3 linked regions of the Danio rerio genome follow. The protein of the gene in region 1 purifies or fractionates together with the protein of each later gene. This does not show direct contact. Links are inferred from orthologs where the notes say so. Each region holds a gene or a part of one and is shown in the gene's direction. Other genes may lie near its edges.

Evidence for each region.
Region 2: the proteins of chek1 (region 1) and cul1b purify together in Homo sapiens (affinity purification with western blotting; 6 studies listed by BioGRID and IntAct, with this or other methods). This does not show direct contact. The link is inferred for Danio rerio from reciprocal best matches to the Homo sapiens genes CHEK1 and CUL1.
Region 3: the proteins of chek1 (region 1) and hax1 purify together in Homo sapiens (affinity purification with mass spectrometry; 3 studies listed by BioGRID and IntAct, with this or other methods). This does not show direct contact. The link is inferred for Danio rerio from reciprocal best matches to the Homo sapiens genes CHEK1 and HAX1.

The regions. Positions count from the first base shown.
Region 1 is NC_133196.1:24,017,288-24,021,565, forward strand, and holds the start of chek1 (serine/threonine-protein kinase Chk1), read left to right. Parts: upstream 1-1,458; 5' UTR 1,459-1,688; intron 1,689-1,907; 5' UTR 1,908-1,915; coding exon 1,916-1,980; intron 1,981-2,065; coding exon 2,066-2,221; coding exon of another isoform or gene 2,222-2,289; intron 2,290-3,196; coding exon of another isoform or gene 3,197-3,261; intron 3,262-3,375; coding exon of another isoform or gene 3,376-3,389; coding exon 3,390-3,445; intron 3,446-4,278. UniProt on the Homo sapiens protein: Serine/threonine-protein kinase which is required for checkpoint-mediated cell cycle arrest and activation of DNA repair in response to the presence of DNA damage or unreplicated DNA.
Region 2 is NC_133199.1:21,249,818-21,253,473, reverse strand, and holds part of cul1b (cullin-1b), read left to right. Parts: intron 1-2,388; coding exon 2,389-2,556; intron 2,557-3,089; coding exon 3,090-3,140; intron 3,141-3,656. UniProt on the Homo sapiens protein: Core component of multiple cullin-RING-based SCF (SKP1-CUL1-F-box protein) E3 ubiquitin-protein ligase complexes, which mediate the ubiquitination of proteins involved in cell cycle progression, signal transduction and transcription.
Region 3 is NC_133194.1:8,853,854-8,858,292, forward strand, and holds the start of hax1 (HCLS1-associated protein X-1), read left to right. Parts: upstream 1-1,530; 5' UTR 1,531-1,592; coding exon 1,593-1,663; intron 1,664-3,219; coding exon 3,220-3,452; intron 3,453-4,439. UniProt on the Homo sapiens protein: Recruits the Arp2/3 complex to the cell cortex and regulates reorganization of the cortical actin cytoskeleton via its interaction with KCNC3 and the Arp2/3 complex. Slows down the rate of inactivation of KCNC3 channels. Promotes GNA13-mediated cell migration.

The DNA.
Region 1 (4,278 bases):
TCCTGCTTCCTTCTCCTTACAAATATGTCATCTATGTCTCTGGATAAAGGAGGTCTTGCTTTCTGAAATGTACAAATTTGGAGTGAATTCATAAAAGCTCCATTCATATAAATGTCTTTTCTATCTTTCTACCTTCTCTCTTTTACTGAAGACAAACTTATGTTAATGTCTATCTAATGTTGATAGATAGATAGATAGATAGATAGATAGATAGATAGAAAGATAGATAGATAGATAGATAGATAGATAGATAGATAGATAGATAGATAGATAGATAGATAGATAGATAGATAGATAGATAGATAGATTTCTCTTTGGGCACATAAAATTTATGTATAATGAAAATGTTTTACTATAGTTACTATAGCATAATATTATAAAATAGTAGGCCTATCATTGTATACATTAATGTATAGTATATGCCTGTCTGTTATGATATAGTAGGCCTGATTGTAAGGTTATTTATTACTATATGACTATTAGAATTATTATTGTATAATTATTATGACGTTAATATATTCAATATAAAACATGTAACGTTAATAATGGTCAACACAAATAACTCACCAATGCCACTGAATGTGCAGGTCCAGTAATTTCGCGACACCGAATCCTGCTTCTTTGGGCTGTCAACATTGTTAATTTTTTTCTTACCTTATTTATTTAGGTTTACCCTTTAAATGGTTTACTAATTTCTGACACTCAAGACAGCTTTAGAAACGACCGTCTAACACTCAATAAATGAAGTTGTGTTTACGGAACTGAAGTGATGTTGCCATAACAACGAAAAAGGACCACTTCGATACATCAGCCAAAGAGCTTAGAATCACTCTATGCTCTTTGCATCAGCCTATCTGCGCCTCCCATGTGCGCCTATAGTTATGTGATGATGATGATAATTATGTTAGCTTATAATTGTAAAATATTATTTTAAATATATCGAAATGCTAGAAATAAACTACTGCCGTGAACTTTTGCCCACTTATTGACGGGCTTTTATGTTAGAAAATAAAATAAAAGCCCCTACATAAACGGTTTATTTCATGATTATTTCTTGTGTTCTTCTTATTTATAAATAATAACATGAAAACGTAAAACGCATAAAATACTTATCATATTCATCTTTTGCTTATATAGCTAATGTTAAATACTGCTGTTGTATACATTAATATGACAGTTATAAAAAACTAAATCAAAAAATATTTTTACAGTACAATTCAAATGAAAGAAACACAACAGGGATATAAAAATCTTCTTCTTCTTTTTTTTTTATATTTCGCATGTTGTGGTTGTTCTTAATAATTCTATATAACATAATGCTAAAAAGTTTCCCAGTGATGGGTTTCAGCTGGAAGGGCATCCGCTACGTAAAACATGTGCTATATAAGTTGGCGGTTCGTTCCGCTGTGGCGACCCAAGATTGACTATGCCGAAAAGAAAATAATTGAATGAATGAATAACGCAAAAAGTTGTCCCTCATGTTAGCGGTTTAAGCTTTTATTTTGAAAATTCTTTCCTCTTAGCATTTCCGATGATGTCACGTCTCTAGAAGGCGCCAAAGTTTGGACAGACGCTCTTGTATTATTATGTCTGCATAGACACTTATCAAGGGGGTGTGTGATTATAACAACAAATTACATTAACAAACCGCTTCACATGGGACAACGTTACCTCTGATATACGCGAAGGTATGTTTGTTTTAGCTAAATTAAAACTAATATCCGACAGCCCAAAGCTATCAGATTTGACGTTTCACTGTTTACAATTGCCTGCCCCGTAACATTTATCATGTTTACTGTTATATTTATTTACTAAAAACTAACATATGTCCTGTAAGTGTTATAGTCTATTAGCTTGTTATGCTGATTTGCTTTTACAAGGTTGTTCTGACTGACTTATGCCCACAGATTGCATAATGGCTGTGCCTTTTGTTAAAGACTGGGATGTGGTACAAACTCTTGGAGAGGGAGCATATGGAGAGTAAGTGACCAATGCACTTCATATTCGTTCCATCTTGATCAGTTGCAGTCTTAAAATTGTATTAATCTGCTTCAAATCATTGTAGGGTGCGACTGCTGGTCAACAAGAAGACAGAAGAGGCTGTGGCGGTGAAAGTTGTGGACATGGCAAAAGCCAAGGATTGCATCGAGAATGTGAAGAAGGAGGTCTGCATATGCAAGATGCTTTCACACCCCAACATTGTACGTTTCTTTGGGCACAGGAGTGAGGGGACGACACAGTACATCTTTCTGGAGTACTGTAGCGGAGGAGAGCTCTTTGACCGAATAGGTAATTGAACATTTTGGGTTCATTCAATAATTGTTGCATCCTTTTTGTTTTTGAGTCGTGTAGATGAGTCAGGGTTCAACGCTGGGGAGTTTTTCTACTGGTCTGATCGGGCCAATGATTCATATTTTTACTTGCCCTGACAAAAATTTTTACAGGCCCAAAAACAAAAAAGAGAAGTTAATAGCTTTTTTTTAGCCACATATTTTAAATAATGTGACATAAATAATGTCTGTGAATCTAGAAAATAAATATTTATAATGAGCAAAATTCTCAGTGTTGTGCAAACAAAAAGAGCAGTACGGAAAATGTGCAGGTTTTTTATTGCAGTTTGAAATTATATAAAAAATGGTGGCCGACTTGTAATACTGACGGCAAATTGTGCAAAACATTACTTCATTTTTCTCATGTTGTACCCATGTAAATGTCTGCTTCTAAGATGTTAAACACAGACATTTTCTTTTATCCTTATATTTTGATGTTGCTGTCACTTCACCACTGGTTGTTACCAGGTTATGGGGAAAAATATAGCATGCTCAATACACAAAATCAGATAAGAGCAACCAAAAAACAATATGGTGTTTACGACATCACAGAAAAGGTAGCATTTAAAGACTTAAAAACACAAACTTAAAATGCTTGCATTTGACCAATAATCGCAGGTCAATTAAGCTTTAGTGACAAGGCAGCACTTTCCCAATCGTAATGATCCTGTCTACTATCCCAAGTGTCTCTCACGCTGGCCCCGGGCCATCAGGCAGTCCTTGTTGTTGAGCCCTGTGAGTAAATCAACTGTAAAAAAAACAAATGTTCCCATCCTTTGCTTTCTTGTCAGAATTGATTTATTAAAATAAAGGCATTAAAATACCTAAAATTTATCTAAAGTATATTTTGTCAATCTTTCTGACAGAACCGGATGTTGGGATGCCAGAAAAGGAGGCGCACAGGTTTTTTCAGCAGCTGATAGCTGGTGTGGTAAGATTTGTGATCTTTTTTTTTTTTTTTTTTTTTTTTTTTATGGTGTATTTTGAGAACCATTTACTCTTCAAAGTTGACTTTGTTGTGAAACTTGCTCCATCTCACTTACAGGAATATCTTCACAGTGTTGGGATTACACATCGTGACATAAAGCCTGAGAATATTCTTCTTGATGATAAAGGTACGTCTGAATGGTATTTTTATACAGGATAAAATGCAATGTTCCACATGGTGTTCGCGGGGTCTTAAAGTCCTAAAATGTTTTAAATTTCCAAAGCTAAATGTTAGGCCATAAAGTCTTTAATCTATTAAAATATTGTGTTGTAGGTCTTAAATCTTTTTAAACAGGTCTTAATTTTCAGTTGTTTATAAATAGTTACCCAATCTGGCCATTAACATCCATATAATCACCAACAATCCATCTTTTATTTACAAATGTCCTGTTTAACTCCATTTACCATAATTGTTTAATTATTTTCCTAATAATAATAATTATTATTATTTAAAAGTTCCACTTGTATTTACTGCTTAGGACACTAACCTGGATGGACTGTTTTGCATACATTTAGTTTATTATAATAACTTTTAAAACATTTGTCCATTTTTCAGAAAGTCTATGTTGAAAAAAAGAGTGTTTGCAGCTAGAACTTGCTTGTTTTGACACAATATTTTGCTAATAGATATTTAAATTTGTTATTCAATTATCATAGTATTATTAAATTATATAATTTTTTATAGTGCAAAAATAAATATTTTTTTTTATCTGGGCCATTTAAAAAATTCTTTAGGGTTTAGCCCTGTATGAGTCTAAAATTTGTACATAATGGTCAAAATGTCTTAAAAAGTCTTAAATTTAACTTGGTGAAACCTGCAGAAGTTCCAGCTTCACAGATAAATTCAGCAGCAATATCCATGACACAAACACACACAGAAAAGCATTTTATTATCGATGTGCTGATATGAAATTGCAATATAGTCTGCTTTGGAGAGCTGGGGGTCTGTTTGGATTGTCAA
Region 2 (3,656 bases), on another chromosome or scaffold:
GTGCAAGTACACTCTTCCAAAGAGATTCTTAAGATTCTTATAGTTATTTTAACAATTTAATAATTAGGTACCAGGCTAAATTTACAGGCTGCGAAATCTGCTTCCAGATCTATTTTCAGTTGTCAGGCATCAGCATGAAAATATACTATAGTAATTCATAGTAAATACTATAGTGTTTTTTTACCATACTGACACTGACACATCTGATAGAGATGTTGCCCATCAGCTAAAATGTTGCTAAAAAAATTTTTATGTATGGGCGATACACGGTTGAAATCAGAATTATAACCCCCCTGAATTATTAGCACCCCTGTTTATTTTTTTCCCCCAGTTTCTGTTTTCAACACTTTTCTTAACGTAATAGTTTTATAACTCATTTTAATAACTGATTTGTTTTATCTTTACCATGATGACTGTAAATAATATTTGACTATATATTTTTCAAGACACTTCTGTACAGCTTAAAGTGACATTTAAAGGCTTAACTAGGTTAATAAAGTTAGGCAGGTTAGGGGAATTAGGCAAGTTATTTTATAACAGTGGTTTGTTCTGTAGATTATCGAGAAAAAATATAGCTTAAAGGGGCTAATAATTTTGTCCCTAAAATGTTTTTTAAAAAATTCTAAACTGCTTTTATTTTGGCCGAAATAAAAAACAAGACTTTCTCCTGAAGAAAAAATATTATCAGACATGCTGTAAAAAATTATTTTGGTCTGTTAGACATAATTTGGGAAATATTTAAAGAAGAAAAAAAAATTCTGACTTTAATTGTATATTGCATAACTGAAAATGGTTGAGGTCGTGTCCATGTGTTGTGCGATAAGTCAAAATATTGATTATTGTGACAGGCCTTTAAGTAATTATTGCTCAAAAACAAGCTAAATTTATGAAACTCACATGTTTATATTTACACTGTAAACCTTATTTAAGTTAAATCAAATTAACTTGGTTAGGTATATCTACTTAAATCAGTCAAACTGACTAAAATATTATGTTAAACTTTGTATAGCTAAAACAATTCACTTGAACCCTGATTAACTTGATAAACTTTTATCAAGTTGTTGATCTATTGGTATACATAATATACTTGTCAAAATGATTCAGTCCGAAATGGTAAAAGGTCAAATGTATTTACAACATATTCTTTTAACTCCCAGATGAATAATGACATAAAGCATCTTTTAAACGTAACTGTGTATTTTTGGTTAAAGCACAACGTTTTGCTCCCTTATTGACAACAGAGCAAAATTTCCTTGCTCTGTTAGACATAATATATATATATATATATATATATATATATATATATATATATATATATATATATATATATATATATATATATATATATATTAATATATATATATATATATATATATTAATATATATATATATATATATATATATATATATATATATATATATATATATATTAATATATATTTATATTTATATATATATATATATATATATATATATATATATATATATATATATATATATATATATATATATATATATATATATATATTATGTCTAACAGAGCAAGGAAATTTTCACCGTATGTCCGATAATATATTTTCTTCTGTAGAAAGTCTTGTTTCTACAGAAACAAGACTTATTTCGGCTAGAATAAAAGCAGTTTTTAATTTTTTAAACATAATTTTAGGGACAAAATTATTAGCCCCTTTAAGCTATATTTGTTCTCGATAATCTACAGAACAAACCACTGATATACAATAACTTGCCTAATTACACTTACCTGCCTAGGTAACCTAATTAACCTAGATAAGCCTTTAAATGTCACTTTTAGCTGTATAGAAGTGTCTTAAAAATATCTAGTCAAATATTATTTACAATCATGGCAAAGATCAAATAAATCAGTTATTAAAACTGTTATGTTTAGAAATGTGTTGAAAAAATCTGCTCTCCATTAAACAGAAACTGGGGAAAAAATAAACAAGCGGTCGAAAAATTCAGGGGGGCTAATAATTCTGACTTTAACTGTATGTATATATATATATATATTTCTAAGCAAACAGTTCTACTTTCGCAATACCACAATTGGTTTGGTTTACACTTATGCAATTCATACAAGATTTATATTAGAAATCAAAATGTAAGAATTAGTTTTAGTACATTTTGCAATATTTGTGAGGATTTTATTATGCTAATGTTGCATAAATAAATTAATTGTACCATATTAACACTGGCTAATCATTACACAACATGGCTTTCCATAACTAATAAGTATTTGTTTATTTAAAAAAAACATCAGGCTTAGTAGTTTTCCATGCCTTGTTAAAATGCAAAGCAGTATGAGTTGTCAGTTCTCCAGACCTCGCTCACTTCTCCACCTGTTTCTCTCCTCCATCTGTGTGTGTCTGGCAGGATGGAGAGGACCTGATGGATGAGAGCGTGCTAAAGTTCTACACACAGCAGTGGGAGGACTATCGCTTCTCCAGTAAAGTGTTAGATGGGATCTGTGCTTACCTCAACAGACACTGGGTGCGTCGGGAGTGTGATGAGGGACGGAAAGGAATTTATGAAATCTACTCGGTGAGAGAAACAGCGCACGCCCCTGCCTGACTCATTGCTTCCTGTTTTACATTTCTATACATTGTGTTCATCAGACTGAGTGATGACTAAACCTTGTAGTATTTCAATTCAATTTATTGCATATAACAGCCAACAGACCATACCTGCGATCACCCATCAGCAGTATTTTTGATTAATGCTTGCCATGGTCCGTTGTTAGCTGATAAAAGATCTGTCATTTGACCAGTTGGCTTGATGTGTTGAACATGTTTATGTGTTGCTGTGCTATAAAAAACCTAACTGTTTATTTATTGTGATTATATTATTTAGATTTAAATGGTAGCAGGTAAAATCTTTATTGTTCAGCCCTGAATTAATAGTAATTAAATAATTGAATGCTAATAATAGCTATATTTACTAATGTTATTGTTTAATTTCTCTCAAATTCTGTCACAAATCTAATATTTTGCTTTTGTAAATAGTTTTTAATAATATTGTGTGTTTTATATCTGTTTTAGTAATAAACTATATAAAATAATGTTTGTGCTTTTCAGCTTGCTTTGGTCACTTGGAGAGAATGTTTATTCAGACCTCTAAACAAGCAGGTGAGTCAGTCATTTCTTTTCTTGGCATTTTATAATTATGCAGTTGTAAATGACACTACTATATTTCTTATATTTGTATCAGATGAAATATAGTAAATACAGTGCTCGGCATATATGAGTACACCCCTCACAAATCTCTCATTTAAATTAATAATTTCTATAGGATGCTTTTCAGTGTTATATTTGTGCAAAAACATTAAATTAGTCAGTACTGAAGCCAAATCTGGAGCTAATAATTCCATTTGTAAAAGATGTTATTTGACTAAATATAATTTTAATAAATATATCCGTTAAATTAATCTGTTTTGTTCAAATGCGCCAATATATATTACCCATATTCACTGAGAATGGATAAAAATATTCATTTTCAAAATGGGGTGTACTCAGTTATACTGAGATTGCTGCAGATTACCCAAGACTAATTCTCCCTTTTTTTTAGAACCAAATTAGCCATATACAGTTAAAGTCAGAATAATTAGCTCCCCTGAATTATTTTATTTAACAGAGCGAAGTTTA
Region 3 (4,439 bases), on another chromosome or scaffold:
CAAATATATTCTTTTAGTAATCTGATTATTAGGAAAGTGCTGATGGACAGAATTGTACTATGGGTATTTTCTTTTTGTTTGTTTTTTTTTTCTTTGTCAGTGACTTTCTTTTTGTACTGTGCGTTTTAAAAAGATTTAAATGGATAAACTTGTCTTGTACATATATATATATATATAAAAAACACAAGTACTGTAGTCTGTTTGTTTGATGGCTTCTTTTCTCCCCTCTCGAATCCCTACACAGACTTGTTAGCATTTCGTTTTGTTTCATAATGTTTTTTTATTTTGTAAAAAATATATATATAAATATTAAGTAAATAAACAAGAAAAAGACATTTTCATCATTTTTTTGGGATGTGAATGTCTTTTTTAAGAAAACCGAAGTTTGTGTGCCTCTTTAACTGCAGTCTGCTTCTTTGTTCAGGTTGATCACGTCAAGTGTTGCTTTGCAAATGTACATTCACATCTTATTTTTTAAATCTAATACAAGGAGCCCTGTTGCCTTGGGGTTTAAAATGTATTGGTTTCTCAATTTATTATGTAAAAATAGGACTGAAATGATAGTTAAGTGTCTGAATACAAATCTTACCACAGTTGCTGGATGTAGAATATATTTAAATAATTTGGTTTACGATGCATATGTAGATTACCTAAATATCTAATCCAATACTAGATTACAGATAAAGTAAGGTAGATTTAAATTTTTGATGTGCTTTTTATTTAACTTTTTAACTTGCCAACAATATAAAACCTCTTTATTTAAAAATACATATTTTTTACTTAACACAGTAATTTAATAGAATTTATTCAAAGATATTACTTTTAAACTTGATGAATTAAAATTAAGCAATTTTAAAATCTTCATGAATGTTTAAACTTGCACATTTTGATAGTATAAGTCCTTTATTTCTCCCATACATATCCTACATAACATAAATATAGTCTGTTTTTCTGTTGAACACAGATATTTAAGAATATTAGAAATAGGTAGCTACTTACCTCTATAGAAGGGGAAAATAAATAAATAACTATAAAAGTCAACGGCTACTTGTTTCCAGCATTCTTGTTATTTACAGTAGAAACAAACTAACCGGTCTGAAACAAATTAAACACTTTTTTTTTTTTTTTTTTTTTTTTTTTTTTTTTTTACAAATAGTTATAGAAATAGTTTAGATTTTTTTTACAGCGTATAACCATGATGACATTACCTTGTTGGTAACGTTTGGTTATTTGTGAACTATCGAAAGTTTAGTATATACTTTTAATTTCAAAATGCAGCCGATAAACTTCCGGTAAAACGTGTATGTAATCGTTTTAAATTTCATAAGGTTCATTTTACAGTATCGATACTTTATGTAACTAAATATAATCCAACTTAATTGACTTAAGCATTTGTTTAGAAAGAAAGCGTTAAAAGATAACAGACGCAAGAAGGAACACATCATGCCGTGTGGGACTTTAATTTTGAAACTTGTGCGGAAGCAGGTGGAAAGCTCTAGTAGGTTTCCTCACTGTTCTTCCTGCGCTAATCTCTGATGCAACTCTGTTTGTTATGGTGGCATTTTGTGAAGGTCTCAGGATTCTGTCCATAAATGAGCGTTTTTGATCTGTTTCGTGGGTTTTTCGGGGTTCCCGGAGGTCATTATCGAGAAGATGGCCGCAGGTGAGTTTGTCAAATTGTTAAAATAAGTTCAAACGTCACCTGACAGCTGCTGCTGTTAAACAGATAATGTTTAAATATATAACCACGTGTATTTTGTGTTGTTCTGTGCGTTATGTACTTAATTTATATTTTATCTGCAAATATTACGGTTTGTAACTTGTGAATTGCATCCTTTGTGTTAAGTTAATAGCATAATGGTTAAAGCAAAACGATGATCGTTTAAATGGTAATCTTGTGTGTAGAAGTTATGTAATCTAATATAATTCATCTCGCTTTCTTGAGGTTTTTGTATCGTTAATGGTTTTAATACAAGTAACATTTAAACATTTTTAAATAAACAAAAGCGTTTATATATTGAAATTAAATTATGTTCGTGTCATTATAAGTTTTAATATATATGTTAGATAGACAATAACTTTGCAAGTACACAGATTATTTGGTCCAGTTTTATTTTCGAGTAAGTAACAGCTGAGATGTAGAGATGTGAAGCCATATGGAACATTCTTTCACTTTTATTTTGACACACCAGAACATGAAATGGTAAACACCGTGTTGCTCCTTGAAACATTAACACACACCTCTTCATAAGTACTTTAATTAAATGAGACTTAATTATTGCGGTTTCACATTTTAAAGTAGTAATAAGTATGAAAAATTCAGCAACAGATGACATCAGAATATCCTAATATAAAGAGAAGAAATATGAAAGAAAAGATAAAAGAATATTAATTTTCTTTTCGGCTTAGTCCCTTTAGTAATCAGTGGTCACCACAGCCGAATAAACCGCCAACTCATCCAGCATATGTTGTACGCAGCGGATGACCTTCCAGCTGCAATCCAACTCTGGGAAGCACGCATACACTATGGCCAATTTAGCTTCAATTCACCTGTTCCACATGTCTTTGGAATATGGGGGAAACCCACGCCAACACAGGGAGAACATGCAAACTCCACACAGAAATGCCAACTGACCCAGCCGAGACTCTGCGACCTTCCTGCTGTGAGGCGATCTTGCTACCCACTGCACCACCGTGATGCCCTGTACAAATATGTACACTGGATGTAGTTTTATGAACCCCCCCACCCAAAAAAAAAGCAGAGCAACAGAATATAAGCAGCATATTTTTTGACCCAAGAATATTTATCTTAAAATCATGCTTAGACTTGCATGCTAAAATGTTATATTTGTTAAATAAACATTCATAATTTTTAGTAATAATTAAGATATTTTCATTACCTGTCACTTGATGTTACACTTATCTTTATTTTCTTTAATTAACTATTATTGTTTTTACACCAAACCTAGATTAAATATATTTTAAACTATACAAAGGGTTTTTAATGGTGGTTAAAAATCCAACGGCACTTTGCATATAACTGTAAGCACTTTTGGTGTAATGGTAATCAACATAAATAATGATTTTTTTTCTTTTAAATGTAGACCTTGTTGGCATAAATAATATTAATTTGTCCTATATTGCGCCAGATTAATCAGCTACAGTGATGTTTAGTTTAGAGTGGTCTGACAATTTGAATCATGGTTTTTTTTAATACAGGGACCCCTTCTTTGATGGAATGATTCATGAAGATGATGATGATGAAGACGAGGATGACTTTAACAGACCCCATCGGGATCCGTTTGACGATGCCTTCAGGTTTGGATTCAGTTTCGGTCCAGGCGGGGCACGCTTTGAAGAGCCTCAGATGTTCGGCCAGATCTTCAGAGACATGGAGGAGATGTTTGCTGGTCTGGGACGCTTTGATGAGCGACATGGATTTGGACCGAGAGGTGTGTCTCTTTGCTCTGTCCCTTTTCAATTTAACATTTTGAATGACCAATTATAGTTAATTTATAAACAATAAGGTGACATGGGTGAGCAGTGGATAGCATGATCGCCTCACAGCAAGAAGGTCGCTGGTTTGAGCCTCGGCTGGGCATTTCTGTGTGGAGCTTGCATGTTTTCCCTGTGTTCACGTGGGTTTCCTCTGGGTGCGCCGGTTTCTCCCACAGTCCAAAGTGTGCTGTAGGTAGTCTAAATTGGCCATAATGTATGTGTGTGAATGTGTATGGGTGTTTCCCAGTGATGGGTTGCAGCTGGAAGGGCATCTGTTGCGTAAAACATATGCTGGATAAGTTGGCGGTTCACACCGCTGTGTTGACCCCTGATGAAAAAAGGGGCTAAGCCGAAAAGAAAATAAATGACTGACTGAATGAATGAAGATGTTATAATAATAAAGAATACTTATGAGAAGAGCAACATGAGTGTTGACATTACAAAGTATTCAATTTCTTTCCTTTTTTGGTACTAAATGACCCCAAATTACTGAAAAAATACCCCAAGATAAAAATTTCTAAACTGTCCATACCTTAGCCGAATACACAATGACAGGCTTGTCATAATTTTACAAATTGTCTTACAATGTCAGAACAGGGTAATAATTTACAGTTTGTTGTGAAATAAGCTAATTGATGATGGTTAGATCAGCTCATTGCACAATTTATTGTATTACTTTCCCCCTCAGATTTGGTCAAAACAAAAGTGGCCGATGTATTTTATTGCTTGTTCAGATGACATTCTCCAGTTAAAATTACTAATTGAGTGAAAGTGTCTAGGCCAGTATCTACACCAGTGCAAATAACCACAATCGCGCATTTTCAAACTGAGACAGAACTCGCGGACTGCTGCTTTACAACTGACCTTATTGAGTTCAAATACAGTTGAAGTCAAAATTATTCGGCCTTCTGTGAATTTTTTTTAGTATTTTTTTTAAAAAA